Linked DNA regions of Arabidopsis thaliana. The protein of the gene in region 3 purifies or fractionates together with the protein of the main gene of each other region. This does not show direct contact. Each region holds a gene or a part of one and is shown on either strand. Other genes may lie near its edges.

Evidence for each region.
Region 1: the proteins of ROS4 (region 3) and AT4G31270 purify together in Arabidopsis thaliana (affinity purification with mass spectrometry, with the first as the bait; one study listed by BioGRID). This does not show direct contact.
Region 2: the proteins of ROS4 (region 3) and RPS5B purify together in Arabidopsis thaliana (affinity purification with mass spectrometry, with the first as the bait; one study listed by BioGRID). This does not show direct contact.
Region 4: the proteins of ROS4 (region 3) and MBD7 purify together in Arabidopsis thaliana (affinity purification with western blotting; one study listed by BioGRID). This does not show direct contact.

What each region holds. Positions count from the first base shown.
Region 1 is NC_003075.7:15,182,358-15,187,168, reverse strand, and holds AT4G31270 (sequence-specific DNA binding transcription factor), read left to right. Parts: upstream 1-2,207; 5' UTR 2,208-2,284; intron 2,285-2,650; 5' UTR 2,651-2,665; coding exon 2,666-3,119; intron 3,120-3,447; coding exon 3,448-3,878; 3' UTR 3,879-3,981; downstream 3,982-4,811. Other genes in the region: AT4G31290 (ChaC-like family protein), read right to left, coding at 16-92, 210-318; AT4G31280 (uncharacterized protein), read left to right, coding at 1,164-1,240, 1,284-1,368; AT4G31260 (uncharacterized protein), read left to right, coding at 4,382-4,576.
Region 2 is NC_003071.7:15,646,500-15,651,393, reverse strand, and holds RPS5B (ribosomal protein 5B), read left to right. Parts: upstream 1-1,922; 5' UTR 1,923-2,270; exon of another isoform or gene 2,271-2,349; 5' UTR 2,350-2,351; coding exon 2,352-2,444; intron 2,445-2,788; coding exon 2,789-3,060; intron 3,061-3,158; coding exon 3,159-3,362; intron 3,363-3,456; coding exon 3,457-3,511; 3' UTR 3,512-3,717; downstream 3,718-4,894. Other genes in the region: ABCG33 (pleiotropic drug resistance 5), read right to left, coding at 1-281, 350-435, 515-638, 708-994; TTG2 (WRKY family transcription factor family protein), read right to left, coding at 4,602-4,894.
Region 3 is NC_003074.8:5,039,280-5,048,104, forward strand, and holds ROS4 (Acyl-CoA N-acyltransferase with RING/FYVE/PHD-type zinc finger protein), read right to left. Parts: upstream 6,247-8,825; 5' UTR 6,050-6,246; coding exon of another isoform or gene 5,831-6,049; intron 5,744-5,830; exon of another isoform or gene 5,674-5,743; intron 5,596-5,673; 5' UTR 5,533-5,595; coding exon 3,265-5,532; intron 3,039-3,264; coding exon 2,921-3,038; intron 2,604-2,920; coding exon 2,521-2,603; intron 2,337-2,520; coding exon 2,095-2,336; intron 1,972-2,094; coding exon 1,885-1,971; coding exon of another isoform or gene 1,875-1,884; exon of another isoform or gene 1,691-1,874; coding exon 1,591-1,690; intron 1,388-1,590; coding exon 1,186-1,387; coding exon of another isoform or gene 1,139-1,185; exon of another isoform or gene 1,122-1,138; coding exon 652-1,121; 3' UTR 533-651; downstream 1-532. Other genes in the region: AT3G14970 (RING/U-box superfamily protein), read right to left, coding at 1-454; AT3G14981 (uncharacterized protein), read left to right, coding at 5,831-6,049; DJ1A (Class I glutamine amidotransferase-like superfamily protein), read left to right, coding at 8,231-8,251, 8,356-8,556. UniProt on the Arabidopsis thaliana protein: Histone H3 acetyltransferase that binds methylated DNA at chromatin sites lacking histone H3K4 di- or trimethylation and catalyzes H3K18 and H3K23 acetylation. Prevents the transcriptional silencing of transgenes and of some endogenous genes.
Region 4 is NC_003076.8:24,093,358-24,098,747, forward strand, and holds MBD7 (methyl-CPG-binding domain 7), read right to left. Parts: upstream 3,176-5,390; 5' UTR 3,066-3,175; coding exon 2,913-3,065; intron 2,633-2,912; coding exon 2,480-2,632; intron 2,395-2,479; coding exon 2,296-2,394; intron 2,113-2,295; coding exon 1,915-2,112; intron 1,826-1,914; coding exon 1,703-1,825; intron 1,590-1,702; coding exon 1,395-1,589; 3' UTR 1,002-1,394; downstream 1-1,001. Other genes in the region: SBT5.4 (Subtilase family protein), read right to left, coding at 3,538-4,651, 4,730-4,824, 4,916-5,390. UniProt on the Arabidopsis thaliana protein: Transcriptional regulator that binds CpG islands in promoters where the DNA is methylated at position 5 of cytosine within CpG dinucleotides.

The DNA.
Region 1 (4,811 bases), on a different chromosome or scaffold from region 3:
AGAATAGCTACTTACGCATATGGCTTCTTCAGCTTTCTCGAGGGTGCAAGTTCTTGCAGGGTGTTCTGGTGTACCTCTATGATCAATGCAAGCTACCAAGTCAAATCAAAACACAAATCAATCAATCAATAATCAACAGCTGGGACGAATAGATAAATCAATCAAATACGCAAAGAACCAAAACTGTTATCTTAACAGAAAAGGGTTACCAAGATCAAAGACACGTTTATATCCCTTGATGAAACCTAACACTTTCTCATCGTAGTGAAATCCTGGGTTCCACACAAGAGAGCCATAGCCAAAGACCCACATCACCATTTTCTGCAGTTAATTGCTGTACATACACACACACAAAAAAAAAGACAAAATCTAAGATTTAGACACAAATCATGATTTTGTGGATGGTAAATGCCAGAAAAAGGCACCATGTAGTAAAGACAAGACAAGAGCTAAACAAGTAAGACAAATCACGATGGACCAGCGTTTCTATTGTCACTTCCTCTTTAAATGTAAACAGATAAGCTCAAATATTGGGTTCTCTTCAGGACAGCTCAGAGTTCATAAAAGAATCAAATCTTCTCCCTTTCTTTATTTTGAAAAGCAAGGAAGATTTTCTAGGTAGGTTATGCGTTCCATAGCAATGGTGGTGCAGTTATAACCCGTAAATGACATGAATGAACAAACTTTTGGAACAAAGACAAAAATCTAGTAAACAGTGTTCCCAAATTCTAGAAAGAAGGGAAAAAGGTATTGACTTTTTCTAGCCAGATTTGGTGCAATAATCATATAATCAAACAGAACAGTAAGAACATTTCCTGAACTACAATAAACATAAACACGAGACAGAGAAAATCGCTGAGAACAGAAGCTACTTTAACCAAAATGAGTAAGATGAATAAAAATCAAAACTTTACCCTGGAACACGATCTTCGTGAAGAGAAAAATCAATCCCACCGTGAGACAAGATCTCCTCTCTTAATTAGATGATCCGAGAAAAGCTGAGAAACTCGTGGGAGGAAGAGAGATTGCAGAGAAAAGGGTTGAGCGAACGGCGTCGTTTCGGTTCGTATGGAGCTGGTAATGGTAATGAGACCACTAAGCTCCTTCTCTCCCTCCTTCTCTCTCTCTCTCGGAATCTCTTTCTCTCTGCTCTGCTTCTCGAGATGTATCTTAATGAGGAGGAGGCGATGTGTGGGAAGAAGAGCATTTATAGAGAGAGAGATGGAGACCGAACCGTATTGTTCATGCCACGCATGTTTTTTTTTTTTTTTTGTGTTCTGCAGATTTTTTGTCTGTTCCGTTTTCCATTCGTCACGTGACTGGCCGGTGAAGACGCTTGTTTCTAAAAGAAATATCTTTGTTCTCTAAACAAGGTATCTCATGTTAAGAAATTTTTAATCTAATTCATAAATTGAAATATTTGTTTTGTTTCTTATGGAAACTCATATATCCAAAATCTAGAATTTATTTGTTCATCTCACTATTTTTGAAGCCAAACACATTCCTAAAATATTCCAAGTTTCAAATAATTTGTCTACCTTGGTAGCTAAAGACAAAAAAGTGTTTTCCTTTTTTTTTTTATTGGCTTATTTAAAAAGTGTTAAAATTTGAATTTTGAGGCAAACAAAGACACAGTCACAAAAACACAAACGTCAGAATGTATTTGTTACACAAAGCCATATACATACATTGCCATCACCGACGTCACTGGTACATAAAAATAAGACTAAACTATCAAATGTTTCCCACGACTAATCGCTTCTTCTCGAATTATACCATAAAAAATATTTCTAGAAAGCAAAAACTAGATGAATCTCCACAAAAATATCTTTGTTTATTTCAAATATCAAATTGGAATAAATGCATTATTATAATTGTTACTATGCTTTTTGAGGATTGGATCACTCATCAGGCGAGTGAGTGTATTCTATATTGGATGATGAGGTCTTGTAATTTGGAAATGTTCAGTAAAATACTACATGTTAAAGTGGGTTCGCTTGACTCATAGTAAAGATTTTTGTCTAAAAATTTATACTATTAATTTGACAAAGAACAACAAATTATTTTTCTCTTCAAAATCAATATCTAATTATAGTTTGGGCCATTTAAACAAAAAAAATAGGTTTGGGCCGAATTCAATAAAAAAACGTTTGGGCCTGTTGACAGATAACATCAATAAAATTTGCTTCGGCTTCACTCGGTTCCTCATCGTCTTGGAGCAAACTTCAAAGTGACTTGCCTGGCGTCGACGTGTCGTTTTCCAGAAGCAGTTTCCGGCGATCTGGTAATTTTTTATGCTCAAAGTTGTCTTCTTTCTTCTTTCTTCTTTCTCCAGTTTGGAATTCTCCAGTCGTGTTCGTCTGGATTCTTGTTTGAATTTTGTATCTGATTTGTTTGGTACCGAGTTATTATTCTTCAATGTTGAAAAATCTAGCTGCATTTTTTGTGGAGTTTATCTGTGTACTTTAGTTCCTGAATTTCAATATCGCTTACCATTCTCAGATTTATACAAAACTCAGAAACATGAAGATGCACCTCTTTGGTTATTGTTCATTGACAATAGGTTTTATTAGAGTTTCAAATCACAGTTATGTTGTAATGTCTTTACTGATGATGATGATATTAACGAGGTTGGTAAACCAAATTGCAGTTTAAGCCTTTTTGGATGGAGGAAGGAACTTCAGGTTCACGGAGAACACGGTCTCAAGTTGCTCCAGAATGGGCAGTCAAAGATTGTCTAGTCCTCGTGAATGAGATCGCTGCGGTTGAAGCCGATTGTTCGAATGCTTTATCTAGCTTCCAGAAATGGACAATGATCACAGAGAACTGCAACGCTTTGGATGTTAGCAGAAATCTAAACCAATGCAGGAGGAAATGGGATTCTTTGATGTCTGATTACAATCAGATCAAGAAGTGGGAATCTCAGTACCGAGGCACTGGTCGTTCCTATTGGTCCCTGAGTAGTGACAAGAGGAAGTTACTTAATCTCCCGGGGGATATCGATATCGAGCTTTTTGAAGCCATCAATGCGGTTGTGATGATCCAAGATGAAAAAGCTGGGACTGAATCTGATAGTGACCCTGAAGCGCAAGACGTTGTTGATCTCTCTGCTGAATTAGGTACACTATACACTATCCTTTTCTTGCCCCATTACTAAATGAAACTAGGCCTTTAAGGAATCTTAAGAACAAATAGTGCATAGACAGACTTATTCACTTCTTCAAGATACAGAATGACGAAAATTGTCGGTGTAGTTATAGTTGAAATATATGTAGAACACTTTGCTACCGTGAGCTACACTATGATTATATTGCTCTTTTTGTAGTCACCATCTTCAGGTAAACTCTGAACTGCTATATTTGGAGTTACTCGGATCAGTCCAGAATCACTGACACACTGACACTCTTCTTATGCTAACCATTTGAATCACTCTGGTTTTAAATTCAGCTTTTGTAGGATCAAAAAGATCAAGACAGCGAACAATGGTCATGAAGGAGACAAAGAAAGAAGAGCCACGGACTAGCCGAGTTCAAGTAAACACTCGAGAGAAACCTATAACTACAAAAGCAACCCATCAGAACAAAACCATGGGAGAGAAGAAGCCGGTGGAAGATATGTCCACAGATGAAGAAGAAGATGAAACAATGAACATAGAAGAGGATGTAGAAGTGATGGAAGCGAAGCTAAGTTATAAAATTGACTTGATACATGCGATAGTCGGGAGAAATCTAGCAAAGGATAATGAAACAAAGGATGGTGTTAGTATGGACGACAAGTTGAAGTCTGTGAGACAGCAAGGAGACGAGCTCATCGGTTGTCTGAGTGAAATTGTTAGTACCCTTAATAGGCTTCATGAAGTTCCACAAGAAATCGAGTGATTTACAATGTGAATAAACTATCAGTTGTAAATGCTTAGCCATGAATCGTAATAATGTTGTAGACTTGTAGACTTTCAAAAGCTGTCTGTAATCTGTCAAGTATACATACAAAACAGGGCAAAAGCATAAAAATCCGACTCCACTGGGGATCGAACCCAGAATCTCTGGTTTCGTAGACCAGCGCCTTATCCATTGGGCCATGGAGTCTTTTGTGTTTAACAATTGGAAATCGACTTTGTATAATAATTCGTACTGATTCTATACTTTCAAGCTATGCAATATATCCCAATGTTCTTTAGTATCTTACCAGCTTGTGGATTTGGTGTCCCCAAAGTGTATAAGATTTAACAATGTCATAAGTAACATAGTAAGAGGTTACATAGAATTTGTTCAGAGAATGTTGCAAACTGCAAAAAAGAAGAAGATAAATTATGGCTTTGGCACAGCTCTCGCTTGATTCATGGCATCCATAAGATGAGCCCTCAAAGCATCCGGATCACGCAATGATGGGCTTGAAGTCAAAAGTACCTGGAGGAAGAAACTCCTTGGAGAGCTTCCTCATTGCCTCCAAAGCAGCCGGTTCTATCATTCGTAGCTTATACCCAGACAAAGTTAAGTCTGAAATTCCAATTCAAGATATCCGATCTTGCGGTGGTGTTCTCGCTTCCGTCCAGACTCCAAATATATTTTCTGTCTGAATATCAATTACGAAATAAAGGGATCGCCATCCAAAACACACACATTTATAACGACCTATACAAGACGAGCGTGGTTTTAGTTTTACACTTTTTAATTAACTGTTTTATGTTTACCAAGCTCCTAATTTGACATGAAATATGGAGCCAAAAGTTTTGTAGAACAAAAAGCTGTCGTTGATAAAGGGATATTATTTCAGACATTGCAGGATTGAGTAACACACCGTTCTTTGCTCCA
Region 2 (4,894 bases), on a different chromosome or scaffold from region 3:
TTGTAGTCATCTCTGCAATGTGCAGATCATGTTGACTTATATATGCCGATGTTTTCTGAGGAACAACCTCGTTCAGTCCATGTCCATTGTAGGAGATTTCACCATAACACTGTGGAAAATAAAAGAGAGAGAAAAAAAGGAGACATGATTCACACATCTGCAGCAAAAAGCATCCAAAAGAGAAAATATCTAAAACCTTAAGATTGTTTTCCAAATTTCCAGACAAAGCCTTAAGCAGAGTAGTTTTGCCACATCCAGGAGGACCAAGCAACAGTGTTAACCTTGTAAAAACAATAACATACATTAGCTCAAAAGCTTGGATCAAAAGAAAGTACCTCTTGCAACTAACCTTCCCGGGCTAATGATACCGCTAACATCGGTAAGTATTTTTATATTCGCTTCGTTTGTTCTTACACCACTCAGCTTTAACAAGTCCTGAAGAAAAAAAAAAAGTAGAATTCAACACCAGCTACAATCAAGCTTTCATCTGCATTACATTCTTGAGTATACTCACTAAGAAAACGTGCTTCAAAGAGTTCCATAAAGTTGGAAGTGCCTTCCCTTCAACGACCTCACACGCTGCTTCAACACCTAAGTGCTCATACCTCACCTCTATGCTTGGAAACTCCACACCAACCCTGCAGATTTTTTCAAGTTCAAGTCTCATACTTTCAAGAAGCATATTCAGTATTCACTATCAACCTCACCTCTCCATTCTTCTTCTGATTTTCTTGAGAAGTTTGAGATTATCATTCTCAATGTGTTTGATCAGCTTCTCAATCATCAAATGACGTTCCATGGCTCCAAGCTTGGTGACATCAACAACCTTTTTCCCTTTCTCCGTACCTTCACCATATTTGTCGACCAGAGACGATCTCAGCCGTTTAAAAGTTGGCAATCTCTGGATCTCAGCCCATTGCAGAGCATGTTCTGCTTCATCACCACCATCCTCATGCTCGTTTCTTGAAGAACTGCTCCTAAAACTGGATCCCATGTTTTTTTCCAATCTCTGCAAGCTCCACTCACAGTAACTATTGCTCTTCTTCTACACCCAAAGGAGCCATGCCTCAACGGGTCCCTATGTTCTTTGTCTCTCTGTTGAAATGCTCAGAAATCAATTAAGAAATATGCATTTGTCTCCTTCTTATGTATATGTGTAAAATATAATATATGAATTGAGTAAAATGTGTTTTCAAACAGTTAGGTGGTAGAAGGTAAAGGTAATAACATCATGATCTTACTAAAAGAATTGTTGCATACTAACTATCAATATTCTCAACAACATAATATAATGTTTTTTTAGGTAATTTTCCATTTTAATTTTTTGTGATTAAACAATTAAACAACTCGAATGATGATGATAAAAAAAAAAAATTAACAACTCGAATAAGTTAAAGTAGCAATACACATGTCGTTCAATTCAACCAATAAAGTAAGACTTATATTTTTAAGAAGTTGACTAATAGCTTAATAAGTTGGAAAACTTGTGTAGTTTCTTAATTCCCACGTGCAGTAAGAAATAAAAATGAAAAAAATTATTATATCCTTCCCACTCTGCGACTTTTCTTTTATTTTATCAAATATTAAAAAGATTCATATCACAGTTTACACATTGAAATCATAAACGATAATTATGTATTTTGTAATAAAAAGTTAGTTCTGAAGCTCATACTTTGGATAGTCGCTAGTCGCTAATATGCTCCTTGTAATAATTAAAGTCACTACGACGCACGTCAAAGCCGATATTTAGGGCTTAATTGATGCGTGTTTTTCTTTTCATATAATAGTAATATAAATTAGTACTAATAAAGTATGATGGATGGTTGAGACAGAAAAGAAAAAAGATGACTGTATGGTCATCATTACAAAGAAGAATGTATTCTTCATGTTCTTAAGAATAATAAAATGTCACTTGTAAATCAAGTTGGTAAGCATTTTGAGAACTTTGTTCGATGCAACGTATGATGATTTATGTAGACAAAAGATAAAACCGTATCTTCAACTATTGCCAAGAAAAGATAAAACCTAATCTAGTCAGTCTCTCAACATAAATACAACCCAATAGCCAAACTGTGTCCAATTCGGAGAGAAACTAAACTAAAACAAAACACAAAAGCCCAACATAAGCCCAATAAAACCCATTTTATAAACAGAACATTACTAACACTCATTTTTAGGGTTTATTCTTCATTGCTTGAGCTTCCTTCTCTTCTTCTTCTTCAAGCCGCGGCTAAAGATCCCTACTTCTCTCGACACTTATAGAGTTTCAGGTCCATTCTCTGATTCCTGTTTTTTCATTTTCTAATTTCCTATTTACGGGTTTTTACTAATCTTCTATTGATCCTCCAGTCATGGCCGCCTCCGCAGAAATCGACGCTGAGATTCAACAGCAGCTTACCAATGAGGTTAAGCTCTTCAACCGTTGGAGCTTTGATGACGTTTCGGTATATTCCTCACCAATCCCTTCTCTTAGAATATCTCTTTAGACACTTGAGAATTGTCTAGGATCTAATTCTTATTTAGCTGTATGATAGACATTGAAATGATTGGTTTATATTGATATGAGTAGTTACATTAGCTTTATTGTGTGAATTATATCAAATTATAGTCCTCACTTAGTCACTTACTAGATCTTAGCTATTATAATCTTTGTCCGTCTTCACTGAAACCCATGTTGTGTTTGTTTTGATTATAACACTAATTTGACACTAAAGGTCATGTATTTTTTGTGTTTTATATGATTGGTGTGCTAATATTTGTTTTTGATCTGCATATTGGTGTTATGTAGGTTACGGATATTAGTCTTGTGGACTACATTGGTGTTCAGCCATCGAAGCACGCAACTTTTGTTCCCCATACTGCTGGACGATACTCTGTGAAGAGGTTCAGAAAGGCGCAGTGCCCAATTGTTGAGAGGCTCACTAACTCTCTCATGATGCACGGAAGAAACAATGGTAAGAAGTTGATGGCTGTCAGGATCGTCAAGCATGCCATGGAGATTATCCACCTCTTGTCTGACTTGAACCCGATTCAAGTTATCATTGATGCCATTGTTAACAGGTATATTAAGATTGCTATACTGAAACCTGTAAAATTCTTGCGTGCTTGTTACTATGAACTGAATCTAATTAAGAAGGTTTGTTCTTTATGTGAATTAGTGGTCCACGTGAAGATGCTACCAGGATTGGATCTGCTGGTGTGGTTAGGAGGCAGGCTGTTGATATCTCTCCTCTAAGACGTGTGAACCAAGCGATCTTCTTGCTTACAACTGGTGCACGTGAAGCTGCCTTTAGAAACATCAAGACAATCGCTGAGTGCCTTGCTGATGAACTCATCAATGCTGCAAAGGGATCTTCCAACAGGTAAGAACACTCTATCTACATAGTCTGTCTCTTGATGGCTTCACTTTATTGTTAGTTAGTTAAGCTAATAATAGCATCTTCTCTTGTCTTGCAGCTATGCCATCAAGAAGAAAGATGAGATTGAGAGAGTTGCTAAGGCCAATCGTTAAGGGATCTCCCTTTCCTCTAAGTTTGCATTATATCAAAGAGTTTTTGTGTTGTTTCCATTAGCTTTGGATATGTTTCAGATGATCTCTCTATCTTTAATGAAATTTTGACGCTTATAATCGACTTGGGATCTTGATCATCAAACGGTTTCATATTTAAAATTATTTCATCTATATATTTTTCAGTTTAAAGTGCTATAAATCATGGTAGTTATATGGTTTCCAATTTGCTGCTACTCCAAGATAAAAGATGTAGATGGAGCCATGAAAAATTTCAGATAACTCAAACAATCTATTTTGAGTCTCTAAGGACACAACCAATGCCTCTAATTTCCCTGTCAGTCTTCCAAGCACCATGTACATTGCATTTAAAGGCATTTGGGCTCAATGGTGTCCATACCGTAAGTAGCATTTCTGGATGGCAAATCATGTGTATATGCCCACATGGCTCAAGTCGGGTGGTTAAGGGCTTCTCAATTCCGAGACATGACCCGCCTTTCAATCCTACGGACAAGATATACAAGGCGTGATCTTGACATGTGATTCTTTCTCCCTTCGACTCACGCCGCGAAAATGTAAACAAGTATCGGATAGATAACTCATTAAGCTTATGAGTTTATCTTATGTTCCTTGGAAAGGTAGTACAATACCAACGTGGTTACTGAGATCTAGAGGATTTCGATAGACCACCAATGTAATTGAGTTACACCGATGGAAATTGCATTATGTTTAGCAACGTGAACAGAAAAGAAATGGTCCCATGAAGTCAAATTTCTCAAGTTCGATAAACTAAACATATTGAAGAAAGTTACCCCTAAAAAATATAACACACGTTTTTATTTGGATTTGTTAAAATAACATCAATCTTCTTGTCCTTACAATCTTAATGTAAAAACAAATAAATTCACACGATTAATTAACTAATGTGGTATAAAGATTGAAGAAACAGGCATGAATTGATCAAATGGCTTTTGCTTAGGAAGTTGTGAGTGAAGAGCAAATGGTGATTGTATTTACCATTTGCTTCTTCTTTTTTCTCATTCTTAACAAAAAAAGAAAAAGAAAAAAGAAAAAGCATGAATGGATCATCAAATCAAATTGTTTGCTTAGAAAGTTGTGGGGAGTTAAAGGGAAGAGTAGAGGAAGATGGAGGGCTCAAGAGCAAATGATGATTATGTTTACCCTCGTAGGTTGTAATGAAAGCTCTTGGATCATCACTCGCTCGTTCAACATGTTTCCTTGCTCTGCAATTAGCACTTGTGCATCTGTAATAACTTCTTGGATACGCATTGCCTCCTACCACTTTTTGTCCATACTTTCTCCACCTGAATCCATCTTCAAGACTGTCTGATTCCACTGAGCCTTGCGATACTCCTGCTTCACTAG
Region 3 (8,825 bases):
CCGGGGCCACCGCAAGTCTCACATCTACATCATCATCATCATCATCAGGAAACCTCCACACAATAACATTGATGACTACATCTACCTCTTTCACGTTAGAGATCTTATCACACTTCTTTAAATCAAGGATCGCATCAATGAGTTCTGTAACAACATCAATATAACGAGGGGCTTTAATCAAATCAAGAATGTGACAGACAATGACTTGTATTTGCTCCCTATCTCCACTGAAAAGCAATCCTTTATCAAACTCGTGAGTTCGATCAACGAGTAGAGTTTCAAGATCGAGAGGATTTTCATCTTCTCCATCTGAATTTACTTCAGGGGCAAGATTGTAACATAAATGAAACTTGAACATCAAGTTTTGGGTTCTGCCAAAATCGCCTTCATCGTTATAGATCGGATAATAGTAAACGAAGCTGTCGGGGTCTGGATTGACAGCATCAAAAACCATGATTTGTTCGGAAAAATGGGCGTTTTGATATTTGGTATTTAGGGTTTTGAGGCTTGATAAGACTTGAAAATGAAAATGAAAATATAGAATCCTCTTTTATGCGGTTTCCTTATCTTAGTAGGGTTTTCTTTCAAAAAAAAAAAAGTGACGAGAGGATATAGAGAAAGAAACGATCATAGTTTTTTAGTCTAATAATATTATTCCGAATCCTGAGAGCTATCAGAGTCAAGCTGTTCATCAACACAAAGCAACATCTCATCGCTAACATTATTTACTACTCCTAGTCCTAGACCACTAACTTCTTCTAAAGCTGCAGAGGAAGAAGAAGCCCTTGTCGTTTCTTTTCCTTCTTCTGATAACTTTGATACATCTTTCTGCAAACATTCTTCTTCTTCTTCTTCTCCTATAGAGACTACTGTTGTTTTATTTGGCCTATCATTGGCATTGCTGTCTCGGCTTGGGTTCTCTGTTTCTGAAGTTGGTTCTGTTTGATCGGCTCCGAGTGGTACGGGGAAGCCTGGGGATGGCTCATCATCTGAACCTGCTGGAACCATCTGATCACAGCTCTCAACTTGGGTACTCATGGGAGACCCGGCTTTGTCTAGACCTGGCTCTAGATCTGCTTCTTTGTTTGATGGGTTATTGCGTTCTTTAGAAAGACATACACCTGTACAGGAGCAAAAATCAAATGAAGTTCGTTCGAGAGAGAGGGAGAGAGGAGTTGGCTTTACCTTTCATAGTGCTGGGTTTTGTGCTCTCGTATAGTGTTTTCTTGAGCAGAGTTGTCCCAGGGAATACCATCAAGTTTATTCTTTTGAGAGCATCACGCTCTTCATCATCCATGGGTTTGAAGCCAAAACCTTCAGTCCAAGTTTCCACTAAACTCGGCAATGCAGCTACCACAAGCTTCTCCACTTTGAGAGACATAAGCATCTGCAGCCAAAACCAATGAATAGTTTTATCTATTGATAGCCCAGGGATCAAGACAAGACTGGAAGAGAGATCATATGAGCTAAGGGATTATCAAGGTCAGCATATGAGCGGTGCTGTATGTCTATCATTGTACTAAGTTTAGACATTATTAATGTGGATGTAGCTTCAAGAACAACCACATGGTTACATTCTAAATATCGTACCTCTTCAATGGCAGCCACGAGGATTCTACACATGCCCTGTCGGCGATATTTGCTGCACGTAGCTACAAGAGGCATCTCTGCAATAGTTACTCCGTGCACCCTGGATATAGTAAAATGGGGTTTATATGTAACTCGTTCCAGTGGATGGAAGTGAAAGAATAGTTCTAAGCATCCATTTGGTGATAGTGTCAAATTTTGTTTCATTGCCTGGAGGTTCTAGAAGACATACCAAACACTTTGATAGCCATGAGATTACTGTTTTTTCAGCATGAATTCGAGTTTCTTCATACTAACCTGATAGATGCTACTGAGATCATCACATCATCCTTTTCCACAACCACTGTGTAAAACCCATCAAAGTCTAACCGAGCAAATGTTGACCTTTAAGTGCAACAAAGATTCAAAAAAGGTAAGACAAAGCGATGAAAATGAAGAGCAGAACTGAAGGTACAGAAGTAACAAACAGAAATCTAAGTGTGCAAGCTAATGACAAAAGGACGTTACCCCCAGTTGTATAGCACATGAGGTATCATGTCAATACCAGTTCTTGGATCTACCATAGACAGAAAGCTTTCCTCCATAATTGATAGGGCAACAGCTAATTTCGAGTTGCATTCAGCCTTCAGCGCCAACCTTCGGGCAGAATGAACCATTCCATCTTCTTGAAAACATTTAAGAATTGACCAAGACAGACCATCAGCATTAGGGTTAATGATCCCAACACGAGAACTAAGACCATTGTACACCTGCATTACACGAGCTACTTAATGAGAACCTTGAAAGTTGTGAAGCAGCTGTAACATGCTAACATCTTCTTTGTTTATATGTCAAAGAGCCCAAGAGCAGCGAAAAATATACTATTATTCTCAATGTAAATTTAAAAACTACCCATTAGTTGTTTAAGTCACAGTGACTAGGTATGATTAATACCTTCTCGCAATTTTTACCACAAAAGTAGGTCTCTGGAAAAAGCTTTCTGCGTTTACTTATCCCTTGCAAACATGTTCCATGATCTGATAACATAAAGGTAACAATCATCAGCCAAAGTGGATTTCATACCAAAATAACTAATGTGGGATCCAACTGTCGCGAGAGGCATAACTCCAAAAGTGAGTTTTACAAAGTGTCAATTACTAAAGAAAGAAAATTGGAGAAGTGCTGAGCCTGGCAGAAAACCACCATCTACAACTGTTACTGATGAACAGTGACATCAATCGTGATAAAATCTCAGTGAGACATGATAGAAGAGAATTCAAATCAGGGGTTTCCTTTCATGTGATAAAGAAATAAATCATAGTTTCTAAGAGATTGCGAGCTGTAAGATGATTACATTTATGCGCACACTGGGAACATTTAAAGTCCTGAGAGCGTTCAGCATTATCACTAACCAACTCGCTGCATATCCAACATGTGCAGCTCGAGCAATACCAACTTCCTTCAGGGAGCACCTGGGTAGAAAAAGCAAAAGCAATACAGCAACTCTCTTTAGAGGGTACCAATTTAAGGTAAAATATCCTAGTTATACTAATGCCGTGTAAGTTACTAGAGTTGAATTAGTAAGAATCACAGAATCAGCCAAGAAGTTTCACCCATGTGTATGTTTTGCAAAGAGTTAATTACCGGGATAAATAATAGTTAAAATGTAAATATACCCTGGAATGAGTCAGACAATACCTGCATTGATAAGCACGCCTGATGGAAGGTAGATGGACAATTATCACAGCAGATCAGCTCACCCCCATCACCACAAACTCCACAAGAATCATCATTTGGATCATCATCAGAGGCTTTCTCTAATCTCCATCCATTTCTTCGCGCCTTATACTCAGCAGACCAAGCTTCCAGCTGACATGAAGCGAAAGGCTTTCCTGACCCCATGAAAAGATTCAGACATGGACAGTTCTGGTTAAATCCAGCATGGTTCTTGAATTCAGAAAGTGACACAGTCTTGTTGCAACATGTACAAACCACTCCATCTTTAGTTACCAGGCCTGTTTTTACCACAGTATCATCATCTGGATCTCGTAACTGGATTACTTCGTCTCTAGAAATTACTTTGGTAGCTATCAACCATGATAAGACAGTTCTAGGACCCAAAATAGACCAATTTCCTTGAAAAAAATGATTTTCCACATTGCTTGAGCTTCGGGGAAGCAACCTGCACCCTCCCCTATTGTTTCTTTTCTTTGTTCTAGCCTTTGGCTTCTGTGTTTTCTTTTTCTGGCTTGATCTGCTGAACTTACCTTTGTTTCTGGTTATTGTCGACCCCATAAGGTCATCATCTTGAGTATAGTGCTTCCTAGCTTTCTTTCTTCCTTTCTTTGAATTGCAACATGAATTATTCATCTTCTCATTCCTCAACCTTTCATCCCGACTTCCCTTTGAGACGAGGTGAATGTTGCCCATCTCTTTATCCTGGAATTCAAAGCTATTGAGAGAATTAGAATCTAGTGAATCATGTTGGTCCAAGGAAGCTGGTTTGATATCGGATATTTTCTTTGATCTTCTGTGTAAGTTCTTTCTCATAACACTTTCATGCATGTCTTCTGCTATCAATTTTGAAGCTACAATGCCCTTGCTAGCCTCCTGCTCATGAGTCCCAGAGATTTCCTTACCAATTATGCTCTGCCTCTCTAGTCTTGAAGAAACTTTTTGAGAGGAAATTTTAGTTTGCACCTCAAGATCTGAATGTATCTCTTGGTTAGCATCCACGTCATGAACAAGATGACTGCCTTCAGATACTGTCAGCACACTTTCAGGACAGCCTGAAATCAGGTTCAAACAAATTGTATCTTCTTTCTTCAACTTGTCTGGATTTGAATTCCTTGCAACTTCAACTTTATTTCCTTTTCTTAAAGAACCAACTTGCTTAGAAATGAAGACAACAACCACAAAAGGCTCTAAGGCACTCCACCAAAGTGCCCGTGTGTTAGCAAGATTTAAATTTTTCATGTTCTCCTCGATGTCCAACAGTGTAAGAGAGAGATCGGACCAGAAGTCATTAATACCAGTCCATTTCTTAGTACCAGTATCCATTAACTTACGATCAGCTAATAGGATCCCACCCAATGCTTTCCAAGCTGACCCAAATTCACGAAATTTCCGTCCCTCTGGCGATATGTAAAATGTGTCTACATGTTTCCTACCTGCTGATCTTTCGCGCTTCTCAATTTTCCATCTGGCAGCAGTTAGAACCTTACAGACATACTTGTAGAGAAGAGGACGGGGGTCCTCTTTAGGATCAATCTTTAGGCAGGTTTTAGACATAATTAACTCATTAGGAGATACTTTAGATCCGTTGTTCAACTGTAGCGGGAAGCAAGCCTTCTCACTATGCGGCGTAGAAGCACCTACAGAGATCATTCTGGTTGCGAAGCTCTCCTGAGAAACAGGAGAGGCAATAGCTTTAAATTCCTTTCCATCGCATTTGTCCAAGTTTAGTGACTTACACTTTCCAGACACAATGCCACCCAGATAAACTTCTCTTCCCTTTACTATGCTGTGCTTCAACAAATATGAGCTAGTTGAAACACCCTTGTTAGATGATTCAACTAAATGGAGAGGTATCGTCTCTCTAGCTATGTCCGAAGTTGGAAAACCATGCAAAGCAGATCCCTTTTCGTCCCTTGCATCCAAATGCTTATTACCTGAAAGCTTCACTCTCTTAGCTTTAGTGTTAAAATCTGAACCATCTCTTGAAGCAGATGCCTCAAAACCTTGTGGACATGCATATCCACTAGTTACCACAGAGTTGGAACTCAGAGAGGAATTGACATTCTTACTGGAATCACATTCGAAGTTAATGGCTCCAGTAACGAGACATCTTTTAGTAGTATTTCCAGGATCACTTCCAAAGAAAACTTCTCTGAATATCTGATGATCCTCATATGACCCTTCAAAGCAGTCACCTCCTAACATCTCAATCTCAGCTCCGGGAAGCATCTCCACAAACTAACTGCATATTCCACTTCACCTTAACTTAAAAGGAAGGTTGTAGATAGATACCTGCAATTATATAAAGTAATGAATAAACTCACAGAACCCAAAAGTTTGGAACTCGACATCCTAATCCAAAACACATACCCATAAGCGGAAGCGGATTCAAAACAAGATAAAATCAGAGATCCTTCTAGAAAGGCCAAAACTTTGAAGCCTAGAGCAAAACGATAGACCAGATTTCATGAAATTGAGATGTTATAATGACTAATTACATCCAAAAAGAAAGCTCAAAAATTGGGAAATGCAGGACATTACCAGCATGCAGAATGAAATCAGAGCTGTGAAATCGGAGAAATGGCTTCTTCTCACTGAAATAGACTCATTTCGTCGCCCTTATCCTCTCCAACCGCAAGTGGGAAACGCATTTTCATTCCATTTCACGTTCTCTGCACTCACACACTCTCTCTCCTTGATCTCTATCTCACACACAGAAAGAACAACAATTTGTCTATCTTTTTAGCTTTTTCTATAATTGTGGAAGAAACCCACCTCTGATTCGGTGTTAAATCTCTCAACCAAAATTCATCAGATAGATAAATTCTGACGAACTTTTTTTCACCTCTCTGAATCTGCCTCTATCACTTTGTTGTGCACAGTGTGTGTATACTTATTATTGGCTATTTCTTTCTCTTCTCGTTTTTTTTCTTTTTTTCTTTTCTATAAATTGTGTGCTGTCACCAAAAAGGCATCTTCGTGTTTTTATTTTATTTTTCCTTCGTTATACTGAAAAAGTCATTCTTCATTTTTCACCTTAAGATTCTGTCTCCTCTCTGATAACAACGGACCAGCAGTTATAGTATATGGAGTACTTAAATTCGTTTAATTACACAAATTAAAACCCAAATATTCGTCGTTTTTTTCTTCTGTTATCAAATTCTTAATCCTGTTAATGACGATCGTATCACTATAAGCCAATATTAATGACTATGGTTTTAAGTTCTTGACAAAGTTTTTTTTTACTAAATTCGCCACAGACAAAAACTGTTCTGACAAAAATAACAGACAAACTAAAATGAAAAAAAAGGTTAGCATATTTAATTGCCAGGTTTCTAACTGTTCTTCTGTTGTCGTTTTAAATCATTTCAGCTTATGTTTTTGTCCTTTAAAATTCAGTCATCACCGATTGTAACAGGTTTTGTCTTAATATGTATAATCAATATCTGTTAAGTGGATTGGATGCTTTGTAATTTGCGCGGGGAATCTTTACGTGTCTTAACGATAACAAATACTGTACTATCAAATAGGTGCATGCGATGATGGACATAAGTCGTATTTTAACCTATTTTGTTGTGTGAACAGATTAGTTATTGCATGTTTTGTATTAACTATATATAGGAATACGGCTCTGAATCTTTGTTTCTTCTTATTCGATTTTGATATATGAAAATTCCAAAAAGTACATGTACCAGTACGATGAAAACGACTGTGTTATGTGAAAGTATTTGTTTTTAAAAAAAAAAATATTTAGAGGGGATCAATTCTAGATACTTTTTTCATTTTTAAGGTTTAACTATGGTTAAAAAGAAACGATTCTTTTTTAAAAGGGTAGATGGTAGACCTCATTTGCTAATTTTGATCCACATAAGTCAATAACAAATAATTCGGCTCGCTTGCGAAGCTAATGCATGAGCCACGTGTTTTGCTTTATATTTGGCTTTCTGTATTGAGACATTCTTCTTCATCCTAATTGTGAATGGAATATGTTGGACCCAACGAAGCCATCAAACATGGTTAAAACACACAAACATGTGATTTAATCTAGTTTAATTTCGTCTATTACAATATAAGTGAATTTTGACACACATCCTTGGATTATATCTAAAACGTTAAGTTTGTTAAAAACACTTTGGACCGGATAATGGGTATTGATCATTTATTGTTTGTTGCATGTTGGGTTAGAAATTAGAGATCATAACAAAAATCATGATTTCAGGCTGTCCATTTTGAAAAATGTGTGTGTTTGTGTTAATTTGAATACACCGATTCATCCAAAAACCATCTGAACAGTCTCTTAATTAGTTTACCGTGTATATATATCATATTTATGGGATCATATTTGGTTAAGTTTAACTAGTAGTTTCAAATTTCGCGTTAATAGCTATTTGAAAGGGTAGGAGTACTTTTTCGACCGGTTAACACTCCCATATAAAGCCCATAAATTATTGGAACGCTACAAAATTAACAAAACATCTCTTCAGAAGTTCGTCCGGTTTACTCTACTACAAAGTACATGTATCAAAAACGACAACACGTGCTTCCACAAAATTAAGAACCAGGACGTGATGTCGTTGTTGTAATACTTTTTTCTCGCCAACTTCACGCCGTCTTAGTTTACCGAAACCAAAGTGGCTTTTTCTGATTTTATCCAATACAATGACGTGGAAAGACTCAAAAGAAGCTTTCGCCACGTTCCACCAATGAATGTTCGACACGTATCGTCGAGTTTCTTTTTCTTTATGCTTACGTCATCGCACACGTCTATCTTCTTTTGGTTAAAGTGATAAAAAGGAAAGTCGTAAATGGCTTCGTCACTGAGTCTTTCCTACTATTTTAACCCCATTAGTGACACTCCTTTCTTCTCCACTACACTCCATTTCTCTTTCTTCTTGACTCGACCATCGTTTCTCTAATCTCCGCAACTATGGCTTCATTTACGAAAACGGTGTGTGGGGTTTCACGATCCCGAGATCATACTTTTTTCCCTCCTCGTACGTAACGATTTTTTTTTGTGATTATTAATCCAAGGTTTTTTGGCGTCTCTTTTAGGTTTTGATCCCTATTGCGCACGGTACGGAGCCTCTAGAAGCGGTGGCGATGATTACCGTGTTGCGTCGAGGTGGTGCTGACGTGACGGTGGCGTCTGTTGAGACTCAGGTTGGCGTTGATGCTTGTCATGGCATCAAGATGGTCGCTGATACTCTTCTCTCTGATATTACCGACTCTGTTTTCGACCTTATTGTGCTCCCCGTAAGTCTCTCTGCTGATTTAACATTGTCCATTTGTTTTGTTTCTTTGTGTGTAATCTAAGAACTAAGGACAGCCAATAAGTGGATCGATCAATTATCAATTAGCTCACTTAACTAAAGTTTCGAAAGTGATGTTTATAGTTCCTACTAAGAACGATGGTTTTTAGATGTATCTGTTGCAACTTTTGTTCTCTGAAACAACTTCATAGATTCTTGTTTTCTGAAAGATTTCATAATTGTGTTGCTGATATACTTTTTGATATGATTGGG
Region 4 (5,390 bases), on a different chromosome or scaffold from region 3:
AAAACATTTATTTATATACTATTGAATACTCCATTGAAATGTGGTAAAGTGATAGTTTTCCTTGAAAGTGTAAATAGCTTAGAGTCAATGTTGGGGTGGTACCTTGAGGCTACAAATTATTCAGGGAAAAGTCTCTATGCCCTTTAATTCTGGCCTATTTGGCTTTTGTGGCGTCAACTCCAATATCAATTTGCAGCACGTACACAATATTTTAAAAATAATCGTACCAAAAAGAAATTTCAATAACCAACAACAATGTTGTCTTTTGACTTTGAAATCTTAGAAGTTTCCACTTACCCATTTCTAGAAGTCTTAAATAGCACTGTTATTCAAAATCTTTTTCATTGTACATCATTAAACTCTATGCAAAAGGAGAAATACATTATAAATTCCCACAATCTGCATTCATTAGTATGGAAACCAGACTTTTAAGAATTTGGTTTATTTTGTCAAAGTTCCACATCAAAAAAGGAATTAAATATAGAATTACACATACAAAGCATATGATAATTCACTTATTGATATTTGCTTTTGAGTTAAAAGTAAAGGTTGACAAAAATAAGAAAAAGGTTAAGACCAAATTCAAAATAAAGTACACTGTATTATATTTGACATATATCTAGTCTATTGCGGTACATTCAAGGATAGATATAGAGATAATTATATAAATATACATAAGATCTTGCAGTAGGTGACTGACTTCATTGAAGTGAATTCATACATATTTTGGTAAAAAGATCTGTGATTGCGTGTACACGTTGTGCTTCACAGTTTTACTACAGTTAACATTATTTTTTCTACAGTTTCACAGCAAAAACCGGTGAAGAGAGGTAATTATATCTCACATGGAATACGATATAATTGTCATATAAACCCTCTCAAGTCTCAATCCAAGAAACCAAGGTGAGCTACTAGCTTTAACCGTTAGTAATAACGATGGACTCTCATAATCGAAATAATCTTGTAAATTTCTATATTATACTCGTGAGAACCACTTGGGGCGTACACAAAATGTTGATTTTCATTTATAGTTAGATTCATACTAAGTATTTGGCGAGTATGTTTAACGAGGAGAAGTTGTTAATACAAAAATTAGAGAGGAAGCACACAAAATCATTCTTAGACAACCATTTCACATCAAGCTTGGAATTTTGAACCATTATTTACACCTTACTACAGACAACTTCGAATTTTAAGTCCCCAAACTTAATATGAGCACTAACATACCTGCCCGAATAACCAAAATCCGGTTCACACCGAATATGAAATTGAAAATTTTGGAAAAGCCGGTTATTTGGGTCAGTTATAAACTAGACCGAAGTATGAACTTGAACAGACTACCGACTGGAATTAGCTCTTGTTAACCGTAAACTAAATTGACAAACCTAGTTCGGTTAAGAGCGGTCTTCGATCAGTGAAACAAATGCCTCGGACCATGTATGTTTAACCAAGCTAGAGACATTCGATCCGCGTACATTCGCAGTGAACATGTTTCCGCCGGAACCGGTAAGAACCCACTTTACTTTCTTCGGTGGGTTTGGGTCAATAACTTCGCTCTGAAATCTGATACCATTCCGGTTCATCAGAAGCTGCCACAGTCAAACCGTTACAACCTTGTATAGAAATGGTTCATCTTCTTTACCTCTAAATGATGTAAAGCTTAAAATCAAACTTCATCTATCTTTAAGCTTAGAAAACTTACAGGAAGCCGCTCCGAATGCACCATAGAAACCGAGTCAAGTGTAATGTTCCCGACTGATATCAAGTATCTCTCAACGGCTGCCATGGAACGGAATTTATTCCCTGTTCCTGGCTCAATATATGACTGCAAACAACAGTACTAACGGTATTGAACGTTTGGACTATATGACACAAACCAAATATAACCAAACTACCTAAGTATCAGATATGTACCCTGTCTATATGACTGGAACTTCTTCGCGGTTTCTCCTCAACGATCCATCCATCAGGTAACCTGAAATCTTTGGAATGGCCACGGCGATTCTGTAAAACCCTAAGCTGCTGCTCTATAGAGTTCCGGGATTCTCTTAAGTATCTCTCAACGGAAACAAGAGAACGGAAGCGCTTTCCTGTTTTTCGCTCAACATAATACTGCAAAGAACAATACTAACGGTTTAGCCAGAGATTCAATCCTAAAACCACCAATTCAACGTATCCTTTTCACATTCTGCTCTTCTCACATCCCACATTTAACCGACCTCAGTTGTTAGTTATGTGACTCAGTAACTTATGCATAGGGTCTAAAATAGCTATAGCAAGTCTCTACATTAGTACCTTATCAATATAATGAGAGTTTTTCCTCGGAACCTCCTCAACGGACCATCCTCTAGGCAATCGGAAACCTTTGGAGGCATATTCAACTCCGCAGTGATCCTGCAAAAGCATAAACACACTGATTTTAAGTATTTGATCCAAGAAGAACCATATGCTTCTGTAATTTCAAATCAGAACAAAGGACCTGTTTGGTTCTTGATCCTTCATAAACCCTTGTCTTGTCCTGGAAAAAGGATCCTGCTCGAGTCAAGCGTCTGTCATTTACTTCTCCAGCCAAGTGTCTGTGAATAGCTTCTAGTGATGAAAACTGTCTACCAGTCCCTGGCTCGATAAAGTACTGCCCACAAAACAAAACAAAAACAAGTAAAGATGAGACTTTTCAGAAGAGAACCACAAGATCTATCTTCAACTCAAGCATATACCCAAAGAAACGACTCATAGACCTCTCAAGCAACAATCAAGAGCTCTGTGGCAACACAATCACTAATCTGATCCAAGCATTACACTTTGGTCATACATATCCATTGCACAAAAGACATAAATTAGCTCTAATTGTTCAAATTCTGAGAAAAAGCTCAAATTTTGTTTCACATTTGCTTGATGTAGCTCATATTTACCGTATCAACAACACCGTTGTTGCTAGATCGCGGCCGATTCACGACGGTCCAACCAGGCATAATCTTGCCGCAAAACGAGGTGGGATCCGCGATCTGCAACTGGGTTTCGCGGCGGTGGTTAGCCGAAGGAGAGGAAGAGGATCTCGTCTGCATCGCTTCGTTGCCGGGTCTAACCCAAAAGCCCGAGACGAGAGTGTGGTTTTTAGTTTGGTCGTCCAAGCCACACACACTTCTTATTTCTCTGTCACTGCTTTCACGTAACGACACGCAAAAAGCACCATATGTCCACTTGGCAAATTTTTACCTTAATACAAATTCTGTAATTAGAAGATGATTAATGAAAAATAAAGTTAATAATCACATGCAAATCAAATATGCTAATCACAAAGATAATAAAAATAATCAATGTTTTTGGTTTACTAGCTATACATTTTATTTTAGGTAATGAATTATATGATGCCGATAGTTATTTGTTAACATCAAAATAAAATTAAACTGTTTTAAGAAAGAATGTGTTTTAATTCAATTTTTTTTATTTTTTTTTTGAACATTAAAATATTATCCAAACATATAAAATGATTCATAGAAGAAAAGTGAGAACGATGAAGTAGAATGAAGAATGAGGCTAGCTTGAAAGTTGGACGACGATGGGACTCCTAACGTAATGATGTGAATCAGTCCACGTCAGCTCTCCAAAAACGTAGCCTGAAGGCGTCACTGGCAAGGGACGAAGAGTCATCTGAAATATCTTCACTTCACCAGTTTTGTTGAACGTGAGCTGTTTTGGCTCCACGGAGACGCGAACTCCAAGTGGCTCTCGGAAACGAGCGTTGTAGGTAGCAGGTGGTCCAACGTTTTTGAGTTTTCGGGTGACGGTGATAGAGCCCGTGAGGTTTGGGACAGTGATTGAAGGGTAGTTGAAGTCGAGAAGATTGGCTCCTTGGCGACACGTGTACTGTGGGTCCTCGGCAAAGAGTTGAACCACGGTGTTGTTGTAGCCAACGGCGCAGAGGAAGTCCAAGTAGTCTCCTGTGGTGAGATCATAGACAAGACCAGGATGGGCGGCTTTATTGGGTTGGACATGGCCTGAACCGTAGCTGAAGGGATTTGCTTTCTTGAAGGATTCATCAACCATGGGCTTACGTCTGTTGTTTCTGGTTCTTGAAGTTGTCATGATGGCTGAGCGGATAGCTGCAGGACTCCAATGAGGGTGAAGTGTTTTCAAAAGACCAACGACACCGGAGATGTGAGGACAGGACATGGAAGTTCCTGATTCGGTGTTGAAAGGAGTTCTTCGATTGTCAGAGTCTAAGTCTGTAGGGCCCGTGGCTTCCGTGAAGGCGGCTATGATGTTGACACCGGGTGCAGTGATGTCGGGCTTGAGGATCCCTGGTGTGATGGTGTTTGGTCCTCTGGAAGAGAAAGAGGCCATGAAAGGAGCAGGCTTTGTGTTCAGCGTAGCGGTAGGTGCTTTGATGTAACCTTTGGGATCTTTTGTGGAACTTAGGTAAGAAAACAAAGTTTCACCATCTTTGTAGTCAATTTGTGAAGCAGGAAGAACATGAGCGTCTGAGATGATTTCGTTTCCACTCGCCTTGTCGTTGCATAGAACCATTCCCGCAGCTCCAGCAGCAGCCGCTTGCATTCCCTTGTCCACACGTGCGTTGTCTCCTCTCAGACACACCAAGATCTTCCCTTTCACCTTCTTCGGGTCTAGGCTACCTTTCTTGCATAGCAATCTATGTAACCATCACTAGTTAATTAGTACTTACTTAATTATACACATTCCAAAAAATAGATATCAAGCGTTTACTTACGCATCTGTCACATTTCCATTGGCTACATTAGCATCTGCAGCACTGATGAGGCTATACATCTTTTCTTCAGGCAAAGGCTTTGAGAGGCTTGTTCCCTGCTTTTCAAAATTAATTACTTGTAGCACAAGAAAGAAAGGAACCAAAAGTGAAAGAAAAAAAAAAGAAGACGAGGTCAAAGTATCAAACCTTGAAGCTTTGGCCGTTTTTGAGCTCAACAAAAGCTTGAAACTCCCGATCCATGGAGCTAGCACCGACTGTAATAACCCATGGTGCAACGTTTGAGACAGTGCCAGACTTAGGACCTGAATTTCCAGCAGAGCACACAACCGTCACCCCGTTTTTGACGGCGTGGAAGGATCCAATGGCTATACCATCGCTCATGTAATCTCCAGCATCTCCTCCCACTGAAGCCGAGAGAACATCCACGCCGTCTTCGATGGCAGCCTCAATCGCTGCCAAAATATCAGCATCAAAGCACTCCGCGCCATCCACAGGGGGCCAGCACACCTTGTAAGCCGCGACTCTAGCTTTAGGAGAACCACCACTGGCTGTTCCATTCCCGATACCAAACACATTGGCTCCGGGAACAAAGTTACCAGCCGCGGTGGAAAGAGTGTGGCTACCGTGACCATCGTGGTCACGACAGGTTTCATAGGAGGCG